2 linked regions of the Tribolium castaneum genome follow. The protein of the gene in region 1 interacts with the protein of each later gene in a pairwise test. Links are inferred from orthologs where the notes say so. Each region holds a gene or a part of one and is shown on either strand. Other genes may lie near its edges.

Region 1 (10,060 bases):
GCTAAATTATCGTCGAATAAATCTTTTATTCGCATTTTACAATGCAACTTTTTGGGTTTAACAATTTTTGAGGTCCGGTTGAACTTTCTCTGAGTGGGCGATAATTTTTATCAAAGATCACAAAGTAAAGAAACATTTTTTAAAAATGGAAATTTAGTGAACAAAGAGAAAAGACGTAAAAAAGACAAAGCGTTGAAAAACAGGCACAATTCTAATAAAATAGTTCATTATAGTTCAAAACTGGGCATAATATTAGTTGTGGATTTAAACATTGTTACTACATTCATTAGAATTAATGTTAAACTGACCGAAAAAAGTTTTAATACATTCATCTTCAATCAATAAAATCCTTAACTTTTTTCGAACACTTATCTGTTCGCCGTTATCTAATAGTTTGAGCGCACATCGTTAGAGGGTGCGACCTATTAGAAGTCCCGACTTCCTAACCGCCTCCCTGACATAAGTATCCCATCAGCCAAATTTTTCCCCACTCTGGTCTCACTTCAAAGCGAATAAATCTTTCGCCTTTTACTAAAGATTTCCGTGGAGTGGGACAATACAAATGAGTCTATGACAATTTTTTGAGGCCCGGTTGGAGTTTCTCCGACTGGGCGATAATTAAACAAAGCATAGAGCCCCCCAACCATTACTCAAACTTCAAATTGACTCAAAATTTTGAGTGGAGGATGACTCACATCGTCATTGAGGTAGTCGAACCCGTGACATTGCCCGTGGTGCCCTCTACAGTCACCTGCCTCCTCCTCAACTTCCACACCTGTCCGTCGATGGCGCTGCCTCACCTGGGCGCAAGCAATTAAAGTAACAGAAACTTGACCATTTGGTGATAGTTGAGTGCGGCGGAACGTTAGTACCGGGACCTGATGAGGTGTTAGTGTCGCGTTGTGTGTCCTCTTCAAATTACCCAACATTATGTTAAGGATTACATTGTAAAACCCAGGTAAAGTCCCAACTTCTTTCCACGTCGCGCTTCTTTACGGCCAGAGGCATCTTCACGCTCTACCATCCTCCGGAAAGAAGTCGAGGAAAGCGAGTTCGCGATGGAAATCCGATGGCTTAGGGATTGGGAACAGGTGTCGGCTCAGATAACAAGTTTTTTATGATGAGATGTTAGACATTCTTCGGATTTACCGGTACTTTGCCTTAAGTCCACACACATTCCGCTATTCTCTTCTTGGACGCCGTGTCTTGTAAATACTGTTATCTATATGGTTTATCATTGTTTAATGCAAACAATTACTGTATGTACAGTAAGCTGTTTTGTAAGCGGTCACGTGGACGGGGCAGATCCGGGTAATTTGGGCAAGGAATTTGCCGGGGTTCGATACGCCTACTTTACCTAGCGTGAGCCACAGGTAATTTACCTGAACCCACTGTTGCCATTCCAGTCAAATTTCTGCTAAATAAACGCCAATAGGACATTAATCGCTTCGCGGAGATAATTACCATCGAAATTGTTTGTATTAACACCGTGACAATCATTGGCACAACAATGGCTTTTATTAGTACCATTCTTCGTGGTACTTCATTTTTTAGTGCTTCCTTACGTGTTTTTCCAGTTTAGATTAAATAATAAGAAAGGATGGATTAAATTTAACCCAAACAATAAAAGTACAAAACAAAATAAAAAATAAAAACACATTGGTACTACTTTAAGACAAAATAAACAAGAAATGAGAAAACTCATTACGGTGTACACTCACCATCAAAAGAAATGGCGAAGGTGTGGCCTTGCATCTTAAACCGTGTGTTAAAAAAGGACTATTTCATTTTTTCCCTGTACTGGGACTATAATAACAAATAATAAAAAATGTAGATTACTTGACAAGGGTCAAAGTAATCGCGAATTGAATTTGAGTAAATAAATCTGGATCTAGCGATATTTTTTTATGTATTTTTTGCACAAAACAATGTTAAAATATCGTTTTACAATGTGGATAGAAATAGTTTTTTTGGGTGTTAGTTATAGTAGTTATTATATTCAAAAATGGTTGTTCATCAAGTCACCTATGAAATTTGAGCGTAATGTGCCGCTTAATTTAAATTTTGAATGCCGTATCCAAGTGACAGCTCCGTCAAAATGATCCAAAAAGGCTTCGAATCCTAAAACGAAAGAATACACAACAACAAAAAACACCGAAATAAAAAAAAATAAAAAAAGTTATGAGTCCTAATGACCGTGGACAACGGATACAATTTCTTCAAAAAATTTTTTATCAATTTCTGGCGTTTTTGGCAGTATAGATAATTATAATATAATGATAGATTAGTAATAAATGAATGAATTAATATTATCTAATTTTGGGAAATAATTTGTATAATTATTATTACAGTACTTAACTTCTTCAAAAATATGTAACGGCATTACTGATTAAAGGCTAGGCATTTATTGGAATTAGAAAAAATATACCCTTATAAGAAATTGTAAAAGTGCACAGAAAACACCAAAAAATATAATACAAGAAACAAAAAAAAGATTTATTTTAATACCTATTTTCCTATTGATTTCTTCATTTTATTGTGTCAGTTAATTATTGACTTTTAATTAAATGTTAAAAAAACAAAAGAAGGCTGTGGAATTTCTTTTGACATACCTATCCCATCCAAAGCACCAGCGCATTTTTAAAAAAGAAACAGGTCATAGTAGGCAGCTGTCACTTTTCCACGGGTGGGCTGATCTTATTATGATAATTTCTGACAGTTACGAAAAACAGAACTTGGATAATTGATAATGTGAACGAATTTTTGTATTTAAAATCATTCTCGTGTCGTTTATTAAATTGAAACGGAATGTAGCAGAAGATATTTCTGTTATTTGCCGGTGACAATCTAATTAAGTTAATCAGCTCATAGCTAACTGAGACTATACCTACCGTGCCTATAAATTAATTGCAGAAGATTTTTAAAGTTCCCGACTTTCACAATACTTCTAGAATGTCACAATTTGCGCTTATCAACAGCCACGAGACACAAGCTCCATTGATACAAACAAATATAAATAAAGTGTATAGAAAGTCCGTTTTACATTGCAAATTTAAATTATTATTGGAGTTGATAAATTTTCTTATAATCTACTAGACACGAGATTTCTCTCTTATTCTATAAGTAGGATATTGTAGTCTGTGATTTCCTTGACAAAAAATGGAACCATATCGCCACCTGACGAAACATCGTAATAAATGTAACGTTATTGTTGTAAACTTGTAAATTAACTGTAAAGTTTTAATGATGAAATGAGACACCTCTGATAAGAAAATGGTAAATTGGTTTAAAAACTTAACACTTCAACAGCATTTTTGCCATTCCTTGACCGTCACCATGACAAGAAATAAATTTTTATAGACACAGTTAATTAAGCGTCACTCGTCAATACGCTTTATTAGTTGGCTGTGTTAATTTGACATTTAAAGGTCACCGCGACTTGATGCATTTCTTATTTTAGGAAAATTCTCTCATCGCTGGGGAAAACATGCACGAAATTGTTGTTTGATTTGAATAAAAGTGGAGAAAGTGTCAAAATTTTGCAATTTGTGTGAATTACAATCCTTTCGAATGTAAATTTCGACCCATTTTGAACCTTTCTTTTTGACACTCTCTGTATAAATCGCCAACTTTGCAGACGAAATTTCCCAACTGCATTGCGAATTTTCGCGGAAGCCATATGCCAGCGAACGCACTATATACAGAGTGGTGCTGGATGACCGTTATGATTCGACTTTCGTCAATTGTTCATTTGTGACCTTAATTTAATTATGTCGATGTTAATCGAAAACGGTGTCTAAACCGCTCATCTCTCACGCTGTCCAAAATTAACAATGAAACCGAAACACACTACTCCAGATTGTACCTTACGTAAACATTACACGTTTTCCATATCTAAGCATTTTTTAATGAATGGAACAATGAGAATTTTCCTTTTTTTCGCGAGAGATGAGCCATTGTATGCAATGAAATGTGGATCAGTGTACAGTGTGTTAAAGTAGAAAGTAGAAAAAAGTAGGCGTGGAGATGCCGCGTGGCTTGCTTGATCTTTCGCGATGTATAGCCGTCTAGATCAAAGGTCGTAGACTCGGCAACCTTGACATTGTACGCTATGTTTCTTCATAAAAGAATAATGTACAAGATGAGTCAGCTTTCGGACTATTTATTTACAAATAAATCGGAAAAAAATCGTTCGTAATCAAAAATGCCCCTAATTTTGCCTTGACGCAAGTGGTGGCCTCAATCATCTTTGATGTGAAATATGAGTATGAATGGAGCCATTACCTTCTAATCAACTTTCACTCGAGGTTTACCTAAATTTGATAAAAATAATTGCAGGGGGCTTGAGGTCGTTGCCAATTGTGGGCGTTTCAAGGCCAAATTTGCAATTTAATCGATATTTGTTGACTTATATTATGTCATATGTCTATTCCCTGAATAAAAATTTTGAATCAAAAGTATTTTTTACTTAATTTAAATCGCTTATCGCTGAATCACCCTGTACATGACCATAAATAATCGTGAGCAATCGATTACGTCTACCACATTTACACAAGCTTCTCAGTATGAAAAAACTTGAGGACAAATAAATAAAGAGTGAACATTAGACAAAAAACAAGTGAAAGAATCTACTATTGTTAGAAAACCGAACAAAACGTGGCCTTCACAGCGCCAAGTAGGCGTAAAAACGGTACATTTCTACCAAACCGAATTACTCAAAAACAAAAAGCCCTAATGGTGGCTTTATCTCCCTGTTATTTCCGCCAAATGCAATTTTCTTGTCGAAGGATGAGCCAAGGTTGACAAATTACAATATTGTAGTTGGATGTAATTTTGCAAAAAACACGCGATTCGCTCCATTTTCCGCCACTTTTCCCATCGAGAAACCGAAAGTCGCGTTTGCAACAATGCACCAGTCGAAAGCCTTGGATTATGGACACAAAAGCCGGTTTTGCAAAATGTCGTAACGATAATTCAACTATTAATTGACTTTCTTGCGCTATCGACCGTTCGTCAATCGATCAAAATCGCTAAAATGTGCCTCTTATCACACGATGAATTCAATTAAATTAACAAAAGGTTTCGTTGCAGGAACATTGATGCGTCGCCACCATGGTTATAGTGACACGGGTAAGTGGTTTCGTTTTATTAATAATAATTATTGTTTTTACTGGAGTTTCTCTCCTGGCGAAAGTCGCGATGACTCGTCTAGACTTGGCGTTTATCGGCCATTGATACCCCGATTAAAGGGGCGAAAACCTCCGGAAGTGCCACAAAGAGACAAAAGTTTCATATAGTACGTATCTCCCCGATACCACGACCATCAAACCATGAAGACTCACTTCCTGTATCCGATTTCCTCTCTTGTATTGTTTGCATAATTTAGAGAGTGACCGATGGGCCGCTGTGGCCTAGATTGGGGTCACTTTTTTGCAAAAACCGCACTGTCAAGGTTGGGCAATCGCAAACAAGGATTTGATTTGTTTGGACACACTTCTCGATTGGATTGAGACGTCGGGCACACAGTGGCGGGCTCAAAATTTATTAGGAAATGATATTTAAACCGGACCTAAAGGCGGAACTCGAGGAAAAGCATTATTATTCAGACGGAGCCATAAAATTTTGAAAATTTACGAGTGTGGTGATGTCTGTAAAATTAATTTATGGCTGACTATGACAGCATTATTGTGTTGCGTTACAGTGTCGAACACACCTAATGATTAACGGGTTTTATCATGTCAACAATGCTTGGATCTTCAAATTGTTTAAATTTTTAGATAAGCCTCCGATAAATCTACTCGTAATCTCACTGTAATTCTAAAAATAAAACGTATTCTAAGTAAAATAAAACACAAATGACAAATTAAAGAGTTTTATTTATCAGGGAGTGTTAAAAACTAAAGGAAGAACCGTGTGATTACGTTCAAGTCCCGACTTGTCCCTAATTTGGCGTTCAAACACGCCACTGGCGAACCCGTGACGTTGCAATTCCGCTTTGCTCAATCAAGTTTCTTTGTTCATTGAAGTGAAGAATGGTCATTGCAGCTGTTTTCTTAACCAACTTTCAATTCTTCCGGTCCTTGAAACTCTTCAAGAAGAGTCGAAACGGGCACACTTACGTGCTCCTCATACCAACAGCACGAACGGTTTTGCGCCGTTTTTCTGACCCCTTGGCACATTTCTCAAATATTTTTCGATAAGAGCCAACTTCCGCGCCATTAATCACTCGTGGCACGGAGGAAATGCATTGATTATCATCACCAGAGATGAAACTGGTGCAGGTGACCGTTAGGAAATTGTCAATTTTCGAATTCGGTACGAGTTATTGAACCTGAGAGGTCACCGAGGTTCTCACAGCGAGGCACCGAATTTATTAATCATTAAGTCTCTATCTAATGGTTTTTATTAAATCCCAGCCCAGCAATTACGTGGAACGTGCAGCAAGCCTGCAATTAATTTAATCACGTTGAACAGGTGTGTGAATTGTGATTCTAGGGTGATTACATCTGGATCGAGCCCATTTCTGGAAATGAATTCGACGTGGCCATCGGTGCCAAGGTGGTCTCCGCCGAGGGGCGAAGGATCGCCGTCCGGGACGATGACGGGGAGGAGCACTGGCTGTCTCCAGATCGCCGAATTAAGGCAATGCACGCAACGTCCATCCACGGGGTCGAAGACATGATCGGGCTGGGCGACCTCCACGAGGCCGGGATTCTCAGGAACTTGCATATCAGATACAACGAAAATCTCATTTATGTAAGCCTCCCAAAAAACGAGAAATAGCCGGAAAAAACTATTTTTCCAGACTTACACTGGCTCGATTCTGGTCGCCGTCAACCCGTACCAAGTCCTCCCCATTTACACCGCCGAACAGATAAAACTGTACAAGGAGCGCAAAATCGGGGAACTACCCCCACATATTTTCGCCATCGGTGATAACTGCTACGGGAACATGCGGCGTTATGGCCAGGACCAGTGCGTGGTCATTTCTGGGGAGTCAGGGGCCGGTAAAACAGAGAGCACGAAGTTGATTCTCCAGTACTTGGCGGCTATCAGCGGCAAACATTCCTGGATTGAGCAACAAATCCTGGAAGCTAACCCCATTTTGGAAGCTTTCGGTAACGCGAAGACAGTCCGGAACGACAACAGCTCAAGATTCGGCAAATACATTGATATTCATTTCAACAGTAGCGGGGTTATTGAAGGTGCCAAAATCGAGCAGTACTTGCTCGAGAAAAGCCGGATTGTGTCCCAGAATCCGGACGAGAGGAACTACCACGTTTTCTATTGCCTGTTGGCCGGGCTGGGCAAGGAGGAGAAGAAGAAACTCGAATTGGGCGATGCTAGTCAATTTAGATATCTCACGGGGGTACGCACTTATTGTTTTGTGTTTATTTATTTATTATTAATTTTTTAGGGCGGTTGTATAACGTGCGAGGGCCGGGACGACGCTGCCGAGTTCGCCGACATCCGCAGCGCCATGAAAGTGCTCCTCTTCTCCGACCCGGAGATCTGGGAAATAATGAAACTCCTAGCCGCACTCCTCCACATTGGCAACATTAAATACAAAGCCACGGTGGTGGACAACTTGGACGCGACGGAAATCCCGGACCCGACCAACGTCCACCGCGTTGCCCACCTGCTGGGGGTGCCCCCACAGCCGCTCATCGACGCCCTCACCAGGAAAACGCTCTTCGCCCACGGGGAAACCGTAGTCTCGACCTTATCCCGCGAGCAGAGCGTCGACGTCCGCGACGCCTTCGTTAAAGGCATCTACGGGCGGCTCTTCGTCCACATAGTCAAAAAAATCAACAGTGCAATATACAGGCCGAAGGAACGGCAGAGGAGTTCGATCGGTGTTTTAGACATTTTCGGGTTTGAGAATTTTAATCATAATAGTTTCGAACAGTTTTGTATCAATTTCGCGAACGAGAATCTCCAGCAGTTTTTCGTCAGGCATATCTTTAAATTGGAGCAGGAGGAGTACAACAACGAGGGGATCAACTGGCAACATATCGAATTCGTGGACAATCAGGACTCGCTGGACTTGATTGCGGTCAAACAACTCAATATCATGGCGCTGATCGATGAAGAGAGCAAGTTCCCGAAAGGCACTGACCAGACCATGCTGGCCAAGTTGCACAAAACACACGGAACGCACCGAAACTACCTCAAACCGAAATCGGACATCAACACAAGCTTCGGTTTGAACCACTTCGCCGGGATCGTCTTCTACGACACGCGGAGTTTCCTGGAGAAGAACCGGGACACCTTCAGTGCCGACCTGCTCCAGCTAGTGGCAATCTCTAACAATAAATTCCTGCAACAAATATTCGCCGACGACATTGGCATGGGGTCGGAGACCAGGAAAAGAACCCCGACACTCTCAACCCAATTCAAGAAAAGTCTCGACTCACTTATGCGAACCTTATCCAACTGCCAACCGTTTTTCATACGGTGTATCAAACCAAACGAATTTAAAAAACCCATGATGTTCGACCGCAATTTGTGCTGTCGCCAGTTACGCTACTCCGGCATGATGGAAACAATCCGGATACGAAGAGCCGGCTATCCGATCCGGCACAGCTTCAGCGAGTTTGTCGAACGATACAGGTTTCTAATCTCGGGGATTCCCCCGGCCCATCGAACCGACTGCCGGGCCGCCACTGCCAAAATATGCGCCGCGGTTTTGGGCCGTTCGGACTACCAGCTCGGCCACACGAAAGTGTTTCTCAAGGACGCCCACGATTTATTTTTGGAGCAGGAACGCGATAGAGTCCTTACGAAAAAAATCCTGATTTTGCAACGCTCAATCCGGGGCTGGGTCTACCGGAGGCGCTTCCTGCGCCTCAAAGCGGCCACCATGATAATACAAAAGTACTGGAAGGGCTACATCCAGAGACAGAGGTACAAACGGATGCGCGTGGGTTACATGCGACTGCAAGCACTGATCAGGGCTCGGGTGCTTTCGCACCGCTTCCAGCATTTGCGGGGTCACATTGTGGGGCTGCAAGCCCACGCTCGGGGCTATCTCGTGCGGCGGGAATACGGCCACAAAATGTGGGCCATCATTAAAATACAGTCACACGTGCGCCGAATGATAGCCCAGCGCAAGTTCAAGAAAATCAAATTTGAGAGGCGAAGCCACGTTGAGGCTTTAAGATTGAAGAAAAAGGAAGAACGCGAGTTGAAAGATGCCGGGAATAAAAGAGCGAAAGAGATAGCCGAGCAAAACTACCGCGAGCGAATGTACGAACTGGAGAGGAAAGAAATGGAGTTGGAGATGGAGGAGCGACGACGTGTTGAAGTCAAGAAGAATTTAATCAACGACGCGGCCCGAAAAGCCGACGAGCCCGTTGATGACTCGAAGCTAGTCGAAGCCATGTTTGACTTCCTCCCGGACAGTTCCAGCGAGGCCCCAACTCCGGGCCGCGAGACCTCGGTTTTCAATGACTTGCCCTCCCAGCCTGCGGAGTCCGAGATCATAAGCCCCATGCAGACACAGTCGGAAGATGAGGAGGATTTGTCCGAATTCAAGTTCCAAAAATTCGCTGCGACCTACTTCCAAGGCAACGTGGGTCACCAATACTCGCGCAAGCCGCTGAAACACCCACTTTTGCCTTTGCACACGCAAGGAGACCAACTCGCCGCGCAGGCGCTCTGGGTCACGATCCTCCGCTTCACCGGGGATTTACCCGAGCCCAGGTACCACACCATGGACCGCGACAACACCTCCGTAATGTCCAAAGTGACGGCCACTTTAGGCCGCAATTTCATCCGAAGCAAGGAGTTTCAAGAGGCGCAAATGATGGGGCTGGACCCGGATTCGTTCATGAAGCAGAAACCACGCTCGATTCGGAATAAACTAGTCTCGCTGACTTTGAAACGGAAGAATAAACTAGGGGAGGATGTGAGGCGGAAGCTGCAAGATGAGGAATATACAGCTGACAGCTACCAGTCATGGCTTGAGTCACGCCCGACCTCAAATTTGGAAAAATTACACTTTATAATCGGGCATGGAATTTTGCGAGCCGAACTACGGGACGAAATTTATTGCCAA
Region 2 (10,060 bases), on another chromosome or scaffold:
GATAGTTTTCCAAAATTTAAGCCCAAAATTTGGAGTGTGATAATTGCAGGCTGTAGCACTTGATGGAGTTTCATTTTTTTAATGATTAAAATTTGATGAATTCGTGATAAATGGGTTCGATAACGATTAAAATGATTAGTTGTCTCTATCAAATTGGAGCATTACGAATATGTACGAACATGCACTTCCGAATAGCTACAAAAGTGTTATTTTGAACGTATTAATAATTTATTGTACTCACCGAATACAGCAAACTATTATCAATAGTAAAAAGGCCACAAGCTGATATTTTCAACTCGCTACGCATCATTTTCAATGCTAGATTGATAATCTACTAGGACTAGTACCAGAAAGGTCATACAATAGTACTCACCTTGTTTCGTTCATTTTCTCTAAAGATATCTATTCTAGTACCCAACAGTATCCGTTTGGAACGATTGGCCTTAAATTGGTAGTAGTACTAGTACTATCAAATTATTAATTACCTCGTAACAAAGTCGAGAACACCGTTTTGTCAAATAACAAATTTCGATAGTACTACTTAGACTATTTTTAAGTCCGACGAAAACAATGATGAAAAATCTTGACGAAACGTTGAAGACGAAATAGTATGTAAAAACGTGCATTTCTGCAGTTATCACAATAAATGAGAGTACTATCAAACCTAGAAACTGTATGGCAAAAATCGAGTTCAAACGTCTAGAAATACGGATCAAGGATTTGTGTAGTAGTACCACACGACTACGGACACCATTTTCAAACAGTTTATTAATAATTTTGAACCGTTCCTCAATGATTATTGCAAATTGATAAAATGTCATAGTCATAGTACTTATCAATAGTTTGGGGTAAATGTTGGAAATGCAGTACCCAAACTTTCCGTGTGGCATATGCCACACTGGGTATGCTTCCAACACTACGTTTAACCCAACATTTGTGACAATTATCAATTTGATAATGGTTCTATGGTGGCGATAACTAGCTTTAGCCAGGTACTTTTCAAACCCTAACTCCACCAAACTCTTATCAATTGTCTCAATATCATGTGCAAGCTTTACCAAGTTTTTGTAATACTTAACGTGTGCTAGTACTAGTACTACTATTGTGAAAACTGATCCAATAATTCGACAAATTGTGACAATTTTGAGCACCCGCCATAGTGCAAATTTCGATGGACGTGTCACAAATTGTGCAAAATCGAGCAGATAGTACCCGAAAATTGATAAATATAGTACTGTTATCAAAAGCTTGCGTTTCGCCCCGAAATAAACACCAAGGATTTGAAACATGAAAGTAGTCGGGAAGGTGATTTGTTGTATTGATAAGGTTTTCATCATGATTGATAAGCTTGTACTGACTCGAAAGTGTTTATTGATTAGTGGAATAAATTAATTTGAGGTTGTTTACGCTTTCGCTGATCAATAACCGTCCACAAAATGAACGAAATCTTGAAACCTTTACACGTCGCGACTGATATTTTAGGTATCAACGTCTACAAGGTCACGCCAAAAGGTCTCATATACTCAAAATTGAAAATTTTACGTGTGGTACTATATCAAACCGTGTGGTTTATATCAACTTGTAGTTTTATTAAGAATTATCAGTTTTTGAACGTTGCTAGGGCTAGTGCTATAACACTAGTAGTGTTTACACGTGTGTTTCTTTGGGGTTTGAACATGATGGCGATCTTGTACCTCATGTTGTTCCGAAATGGAAAAATGATTTTGATTCGCCAAAAACTATCAGAAATTGATAACAAGTTAGAGGCTCTAGGGCTGAAAGAACGCCTGTCAAACCTGGCCCAGAGACACAAAAAAACCTTAACTGTCCTAATCCTCATTGAAATTTTTGCCCTAAACCTATCATCTGAAATTGTGACCCATATCTTGCTCGAAAGAAACGATTTTTTCGCTTCGTTCGTCGTTCTTCAGTACTCTCGTCTTTTTAGTACAACCTTTTTAACATATTTTTTGATACAGACTTTGATAGTCCAGAAACGCTTCGAATTGATAAACGAACTGTTCCAAAAGGGGAACAAGACCATACTTTGGCACTTGGTCTCGTGTCACTTGAAACTACAACGTTTGGTCAAAATTTTGAATTCGATGTTTGACCTCCAGATTTTGATAACTGTGACCTTTTATTTCGCCCAAACGGTACTAGATTTATACACCGGTATCACAGTTGCCCTTTTTGAAACCAATAAAGGGATTTTTGTCTTTATTGCACTCAAAAACGCATTACAAAACATAATAGAACTATTCTACTTGACTAGGAGATGTAGCGAGTTGTGTATCCAGGTACGACTATCAATTTGATAACTGTAATTATCACAATAGTGTTTTAGGCGAATTTAGCCAAAAAACTAGTACTAGACTTTGAGATTGATATTCAAGACGAGGAAAAACGAAATTTTGTAAGTTTTTTGATAATCGTGCGTTTTATCAAACTTTGATAGATTGTAGCTTCTGGCTTGAAACTATCAAATAACAAGTTGGAAATAACAGCATTACGAATGTTCAGTATTAATTATTCGTTACTCCATTCGGTAAGGTTTCAACAATCAAGGATTGATAATTATCAAAGTGATAGCTTTGTAGTGCCGTTTTCACGTACATATGTGTGATGCTCCAGTTTGATAATAAAATACCGAAAGTATCAATAAAGAGTTGAGTTTGTGCCTTGTGTTTTGCTCCCAATATCGAGTTGCAACATTATGAACAAGTAGGAGGAGGCAGCTCCGCATATCTAAAACCTGTTATTGAATTATCAATTATCAAAAGTTGGAAAGTACCGAAAAAAGTAGCGCATTATCAATGCTAAACAAGCGACAAGCCGTGATTTCGAGCTTATTTTGCATAAGTTTAAGTACCGAAGTGACGACCTAAACAAATGACGGACCATATTATCAAACTTTGATAGTGGTACTTACAACATTGCGTTCCTCCTCTTGATCAATATCAATTTTAAGACCAACAAGTAGTATTTTAGTCTTATTAGCTTCGTTGCAAAGATCACTCGCTCGTTTTGATAGATAGAACAAATCGAAAACATAAGTAACACAGTTTTTTCCCATATCAAGCACGATTTTGTGGTGTTGATAGAACATATCAAAGAAAATGATGTAGATAGAAGTGTGCAAATCACCAATCAACAACACGAAGTTCATACTGGTACACATAAGTACCTGGAATGCGAAAATTCCATTGATTTCCCTAACCACCTTAACCAAAATTTTGTGCAGATTGAACAGTTTTTTGATAGTGGTACTAGTAACATCCCCACGTGTGATAATGTTATTTATCATCTCAAACCTAGTCTGTATTAGCAAAAATATCAAATTGAGGGTACTATTCATAATCCCGATGATAAGTCTTGGGTACCAATTGACCAGGAAGATCAATATTTGATCCTGGCAGCGTACCCAAGCACTGAACACTTCGCCACAAGTGTTAAAAATCAAATTAACTAGTACCATGAGTAGTATTAAGTGTTTCTGGACCACAGAATTAGGTATATCAAGGTCACAACCCATTTGCTTCAATTGGTTATCAACCTCGTGCACTTGGCGCATTTGTTCCAATTTTTTGGTAAAGTACATTTGGGAAAAAAATAGGTTGAGTACCATCATGGTGGTACTGCCCAAGTCGCGGAACATTGTCAAAAATTTAATGGTTTCAGCTTTGGTAAAGTCGCTAGTTTCGCCAAAACTGGTCGAGTAGATGATAGTAAGGGCGATGTTAGTGAGTACTAGAATGGTACTAGGTACTAGACGGATACGTGATAGTACTATTTGCCCGTTTTTGGTCGTAAAGGGCGAAATTCCGAGATAGAGCGAGTATTTGGCGATTGGTTTAATAATGTTTACGTAAATAGCCGAATTTTCGAAGCTCTGTAACAGAAAATTGAAGTTTATTTTTGCAATTTTGTTGCTTCGCACCTCCATCTTTGCTAGTTGTGTGTGAAGAAGTGTAATCGATTCGTTCGTGCCACTAATTAATTAATTGTGTTTCAGGGTTGTGTGAAGTGGACTCGGGTCAATCGAACATAATCCTGGACATTGAAGAAAGTCGCGGAAAATGTGAGTGTTTTGCAATTAATTTGTGCAAATCAGCGGTTTTGCAAGTGTTACGCTTATCTGATTTTTGCGCATTTCAGCAATTAGCCAAGAGACCGTTCCTGCAGAGTTACCAATTGTTGGCGAGCCAAATGTCGATATTTTCCTCGATTTGGCGTTTCCCAAAGGGCCTGCGCTTTTTTTTCTCAATGGGAAAAAGCTGCAATTGTTGGCGCCGTTAGATCGAGACGAAAACAGTCTCTCGCATATTGTTTTTCAGGTAGTACCCAGTTAATTTGCAAAGAGAGTGAAAGGTACTACCGTTACGGGAGCGATTATTTAAGCTTGTTTCGTGACAGAAATTAACGAGAAAGTATTGTTCGGCGGTTAAGGAAGAAAGGAAAAAATTTGTTCAAGGTTGGCGTGAAGTGTAGCAAATATGCGAAGGTTTTAAGAGAGCGGAAGGTGTGGGCGGGTTGAGTGACATTTGATTATTTGGGTACCACCACAAAAATATAAAAATATAATTATTTTTTAAATTTGGTAGTAGTACCACATTATAGCACTGTAATTAAAGTGGTACCACCTTCAAATAAAGTGCTATATTGTGATATTTGTTAAATATTGGTACTACATTTTCTGAGAGAAGGTCAAAATAACAAGCAATTTGCTTCTTTTGCTGATATTATTACTAAAATTAGTTACATTTTTCAAAAAAAATTAAGGTACGACTTGGTACCATTTCGGGGCCATTGACTGAAACGAGCAAATCACTCTCGAACGCAAACTACTGGCAATTATAACAATAATTATGCATAATTTACCAAGTGGTACTCTTTTTAGTTAATTTGCACAATTAAATCGACTCACAAGAAACGAACTGTACCAGTAATTGTAAGACTGAGTGATATTAACGATAATGCACCAGAATTCGTCAACACGCCGTACGAGACGAGTATATCGGAGGTAATTATCGCAAAAAAAATAATGGTACCACTTACTGGTACTTGTTGTAGCTCACACCTGTGGGTACCACAATCTTCCAAGACATTTTAGCCAAAGATAAAGACGCCGGCGTCAATGGTTTAGTCGAGTATTCGATCGTAAAAGGCGAGAATTTAGCGCACGAGGACGACGATCGAATCCACAGCGAAGATGGCTTCGGGTACTTTGCCATCAATTTACCACATCAGGGTCAAGTTACGGTTAATAGAACTCTAGACTTTGAGAAGACGCAGAGATATTACGTCACCGTCGTGGCGACGGTAAGTAACCAGTTTTGGCGAGTAGTACCACTGGTACCATTTTGGGTTCCAGGACCGGGCGCACGATGACACACAACGACTTTCGTCAACAACGACACTCGTAGTCAATATTAAAGATGACGATGATCAGAACCCTTCTTTCATATACAAAGGGTGCATGCTTTTGGATGGTACCTGCATCAATCCTGAATATTCAGCTTCGGTACCATTCAATTATTTGCAATTTTTTTTGTTTAATTTTTTTGTAATAGGTTTCAAGTGGGGTTCTTCACGGAATACTTAATATTTCACCCGAAAAAATCCAAGCGGTGGACATGGATACGATCAATTCGCCCATTCACTACTCGTTTGTGAGTGGTACTCCTGAATCGTACTCTGAGTACTTTCAAATTGATTCGGAAACGGGTGCCGTGAGGCAAATCAAAGCCGTGGACACTTCAACCACCAAACAATTCAACATCATAATCAAGGTGGGCATTGTTTCAAATGGTACCAAACTTAGTAGTACCACAATTTTGTTTTTTTTTTAACAAAATTCTTTGATATACCTATGTTTCGGCCAGAATTTAGTGTTTTCCAATAGTATACATAATTTTTAGTTTTGGTACCACTGTTTGGTACTTATAGCAAAAATCCTTATTGAAAGTTGCATTAAAGCATATGTGATCGCATTTTTTCGGCCAACTTTGCGTGCATCTTAATTACTCTTGTAATTTATTTCAAGCCGTCAATATTTGCGTTTTTATTCCCCGATATGAAGCTTATTACACGTAATTTCCCCCAATTACAAGCACAAAACTGGGTCAAACTTTGATTTTTCCTCAGGCACAAGAAATATCCGAAGCAAAACGTTCAACAACAGCGAAACTTTTCATTACTGTTAAACCAGTCGATGCAAATCCTCCTGAAATAGAATTGTCATCAACCGAAGGCTATGTCAACGAAAATTCCCCAATTGGGGAAAAAGTACTCGACTCTGAAGGGGTACCACTTCTCATATCAGTGACTGATAAGGATTTTGTAAGTTATATCAAAGTGGTACCAAAAAAATTGACTCCCTGAATTGTTTTAGGGCCCAAATGACCCCAAACCCTCTTACACGTTCGAACTAACGACCCCTTTTTTCACAATTGATAAAATGGGGTACTTGCTAGTCAACGAAAACAATTTAGACCGTGATCCTCCAAACCCTGGCCGTTTTAAATTCCAGATTGTTGCACGTGAAAAAGGTGGTACCGCTGCAAGTGCCCCCATGTCTGTGACCGTTCACTTGAACGATGTCAATGATAACGCCCCCATGTTGCCTATTATAGCCCCAGTGGGGGTTCCCGCCGGGGATGTGAAACGCCAAGTCGCCACAATCAAAGCTACAGATAATGATGAAGGCGATAACGCATTAGTTACATACTCAATTTATCACGTCTCGAATAATGGAAATAACAAGTTCCGGATTGACCCCAATACGGGGGTACTTGAGACGGTGGGGAAATTAAATGCAGGGGATCAGTACAGTTTGACTGTTCAAGCCACTGATAAAGGAGGGCTTTATTCACAAGCCATCGTTGAAGTGACCATAAGTCCAGGACCTAATACACAAAGTCCCATTTTTGAACAGTCGGTTTACGAAATTGAGGTCAGCGAAGGGGCTACGATTAACTCGACTGTGGCCACAATTACGGTAAGTGCGGAATTTTACCAGGATTCCAAATCTGTAAACGGAATTTTGATACAATGAGTACTTTTTGAGATATTGCAAAATTTTTGAAAAAAAATTTTGGACGAATTAAGACCCAAATTGCAAAATTATTGTTATTTTTGGGTTTACGAAGCCCAAATAGTACCAGGATCCCAAATCTGTAAACGAAATTTTGCTACGGTTAGTAGTATGAGATATAGATTTTTTTTGAGTAAGTCCATTGCTCGAATTAAGGCCCAAATTGCAAAATCTCTCTTATATTCTAATTCACGAAACTTAAAATAGAAATTTTGCCAAGATTTCAAACTTGGATATTAAATTTTGCTACGTTTAGTATTTTTTAAGATATGGTACTACCTTTGAAAATTTTTGAGCAAGCTTATTACAGCCCAAATAGCAAAATCGCAGTTAAATTTGTGTTAACAAAATTCTAAATAGTGCCAGGATTCCAAATCTTTTATACAAAATTTAGCTATGATTAGTACTTTCCGAGATATAGTTTTTTTGAGTGAGTCCATTGGACGAATTAAGGCCCAAATTGCAAAATCATTGGCATATTCGGGCCCAAGAAGTTCAAAACAGTCCGCTAGGACGCATGGATACGATACCAAAACATTTCAAGTGGACCAAAATCTGGTCACTTTAATGGTCATTTTTTTAGGCCATGGACCCCGAAAACGACCCTGTGACCTACTCCATAGTCTCAGGAAACGATCTGAGACAATTTTCAATTGGTGCCAAATCAGGTGTGATCACAGTTATCCGAAAATTGGATCGTGAGGACTTGACTAGATACAAACTTGTAGGTTTTTTGTTTTTTTTTTGATATTTTTCACTATTTGGTACTTTTCAGATTATTAAGGCTGAAGATGCGGGTAAATTATCATCAACAGCTACTGTTAATATCAAGGTGACTGATATAAATGACAAGAATCCCGAATTTGTGGGCGATCCGTACAATTTTTCGGTGAAAGAAGGGCTAAATAGTACCTCGGTAGGGTTTGTAAAGGCTACGGATGCCGATGAGGGTATTAATGCCCTTGTTACGTACTCTATTCCCTCTGGTTTGCCCTTTGATATTGATAACGAGACCGGCGAGATAAGGACTAACCGAGCCCTGGATTACGAAACACAAAAGGTACCACCATCAAACTATGGTACCTATTATTTGGTACTATTGTAATATTTTAATTCAGAAGTACATTAGGTTACTAGAACACAAATCCTAAACCAAAATAGATAACTTTGTAGTACCTACTACAAACTATCGTATTATAGCTTTTTTACAGAAGTACCAAGTAGGTACTATATGTGGTAGTAGAACACTAGTTATAAAACACGATTGATATTTTCTAGTACAATCGTGATAGATCTAGTAGAATAGTTAAAAAACTGGTACCATTGCAGAACTACCAGTTTGTGGTGACGGCCAAAGATGGCGCCCCTGACCCACGTCTAGCCACCGCCACTGTCTCCATCTCCGTCATAGACATTGAAGACGAACTTCCAATTTTCACAAAATCGTTATACACAGCGTCAGTACCCGAAAACATTCCCGATTATTTCATCACCGACGTTAAGGTACTCACCTCCAGATCATTACAGTACTCTCCAAGTACTATACTTCCAGGCTGAAGACCCCGACACTATAAAAAAAATCACCTATGTCATCCATCAAGGTCCAACTGACCTTTTCCGTATTGACGAAAACAGTGGTGCTGTTTATACAATACGTGGTTTGGACTACGAGAAAGACAGTCAACATGTCCTTACCATTGGTACTCTCGAAAATATGTCGAATGAGGAAGGTAGTACCACCAAAGTGATTATCAATGTCGAGGACAGGAATGATATACCGCCGGTTTTTACCATCATACCGCACCCAATCACTCTTGATGATGACGTGGCGATTGGTACTCCTGTCACTAATTTAGTGGCGACGGACTCCGATGGTACCGCACCCGGGAATAAGGTTCGGTACGAGATTATAGGACGTGGCAAGGCCACCAAGTACTTCCAAATTGACTCTGATACAGGAATTTTAAAAGTAACCAACGATCTCAAGAAAGAAATTGATACGGAATATCAGGTACCACCACCAAGTGGTGCCAAAAATCGCTCAATTGTGTTTTTTAGGTGGACGTCCGTGCCTATGATTTAGGGGAACCACAATTATCATCAGTTATCACTTTGGATATTTACATCCAACATGTGGCAACGGTCGCTCCTGAAGTTGGTTTGAAATTTGCCGATACGTCGTACCATGTGCAAGTACCCGAAAATGCGACAAGTGGTACCAAAGTTAAAACACTGACCATTGTTAATAGTCGCACCCATGGTGGCAATATCCCACTCAAGTGTCTCATTATTTCGGGAAATGAGCAAAGTACCGGTGGTACCTTTTTTGTAATTAGGTTTTTGACTAAAAAATTGTAGGGAAATTCATTGTCAATGTGACCGAAGACAGGAATTGCGCCCTTTATTTGAATGGTACCATCGATTTTGAAACAGACGAGTCGTACCAACTTGAAGTCCAAATCATGTCACTCCAAGGGTTCATTAATAAGGAGTTCAGTATCACTCTAGTGACCATTAATGTGGTCGATGTTAATGACAATGTCCCTTATTTCATTTTCCCCTCTGGTGGTACCCACAAGTACCACGCCGCTATCACTGACAATTCTCCTCTTTCGACAACAGTAACGCAAATCAAGGCTGACGATAAAGACAGTGGAAAGTACGGAAAGTTGGAGTTTTCGCTCGACAAAACCGAGTACTTCACTATAGATTCAAGTACCGGCATTGTCAAGACCAGGAAGACTTTTGACGATGTTGATAATAGTGAATTACCATTTAAATTGATTGTCAAAACACGTGATAACCCGAACGCCACTGAATACAACGAAATCAAAGCACCCTTTATTGTTAATTTGATAACAAAAGACAATCGCTTGGTACTAGTGATCGGAGACGCTAAACCTGACATAGTCCAGAAAAAACTACCCTTGATTATCGACATAATGCAAGAACAGACGGGTTTAA

What was found.
Region 2: the proteins of ck (region 1) and Cad99C interact in binary tests that used the Drosophila melanogaster proteins (3 or more experiments, as listed by UniProt). The link is inferred for Tribolium castaneum from reciprocal best matches to the Drosophila melanogaster genes ck and Cad99C.

The regions. Positions count from the first base shown.
Region 1 is NC_087398.1:4,868,022-4,878,081, forward strand, and holds the start of ck (myosin-VIIa), read left to right. Parts: upstream 1-483; 5' UTR 484-958; intron 959-4,886; exon of another isoform or gene 4,887-5,037; intron 5,038-5,091; 5' UTR 5,092-5,112; coding exon 5,113-5,130; intron 5,131-5,194; exon of another isoform or gene 5,195-5,296; intron 5,297-6,495; coding exon 6,496-6,756; intron 6,757-6,805; coding exon 6,806-7,369; intron 7,370-7,417; coding exon 7,418-10,060. UniProt on the Drosophila melanogaster protein: Myosins are actin-based motor molecules with ATPase activity. Unconventional myosins serve in intracellular movements: can function in cells as a single-molecule cargo transporter.
Region 2 is NC_087400.1:3,733,393-3,743,452, reverse strand, and holds part of Cad99C (cadherin-99C), read left to right. Parts: intron 1-4,015; coding exon 4,016-4,081; intron 4,082-4,158; coding exon 4,159-4,337; intron 4,338-4,900; coding exon 4,901-5,023; intron 5,024-5,073; coding exon 5,074-5,322; intron 5,323-5,374; coding exon 5,375-5,524; intron 5,525-5,573; coding exon 5,574-5,792; intron 5,793-6,147; coding exon 6,148-6,342; intron 6,343-6,394; coding exon 6,395-7,000; intron 7,001-7,679; coding exon 7,680-7,820; intron 7,821-7,871; coding exon 7,872-8,156; intron 8,157-8,425; coding exon 8,426-8,599; intron 8,600-8,648; coding exon 8,649-9,107; intron 9,108-9,154; coding exon 9,155-9,404; intron 9,405-9,454; coding exon 9,455-10,060. UniProt on the Drosophila melanogaster protein: Cadherin that functions in epithelial morphogenesis and the intestine epithelial immune response. Essential for female fertility. Regulates the length and organization of apical microvilli in developing follicle cells and salivary glands.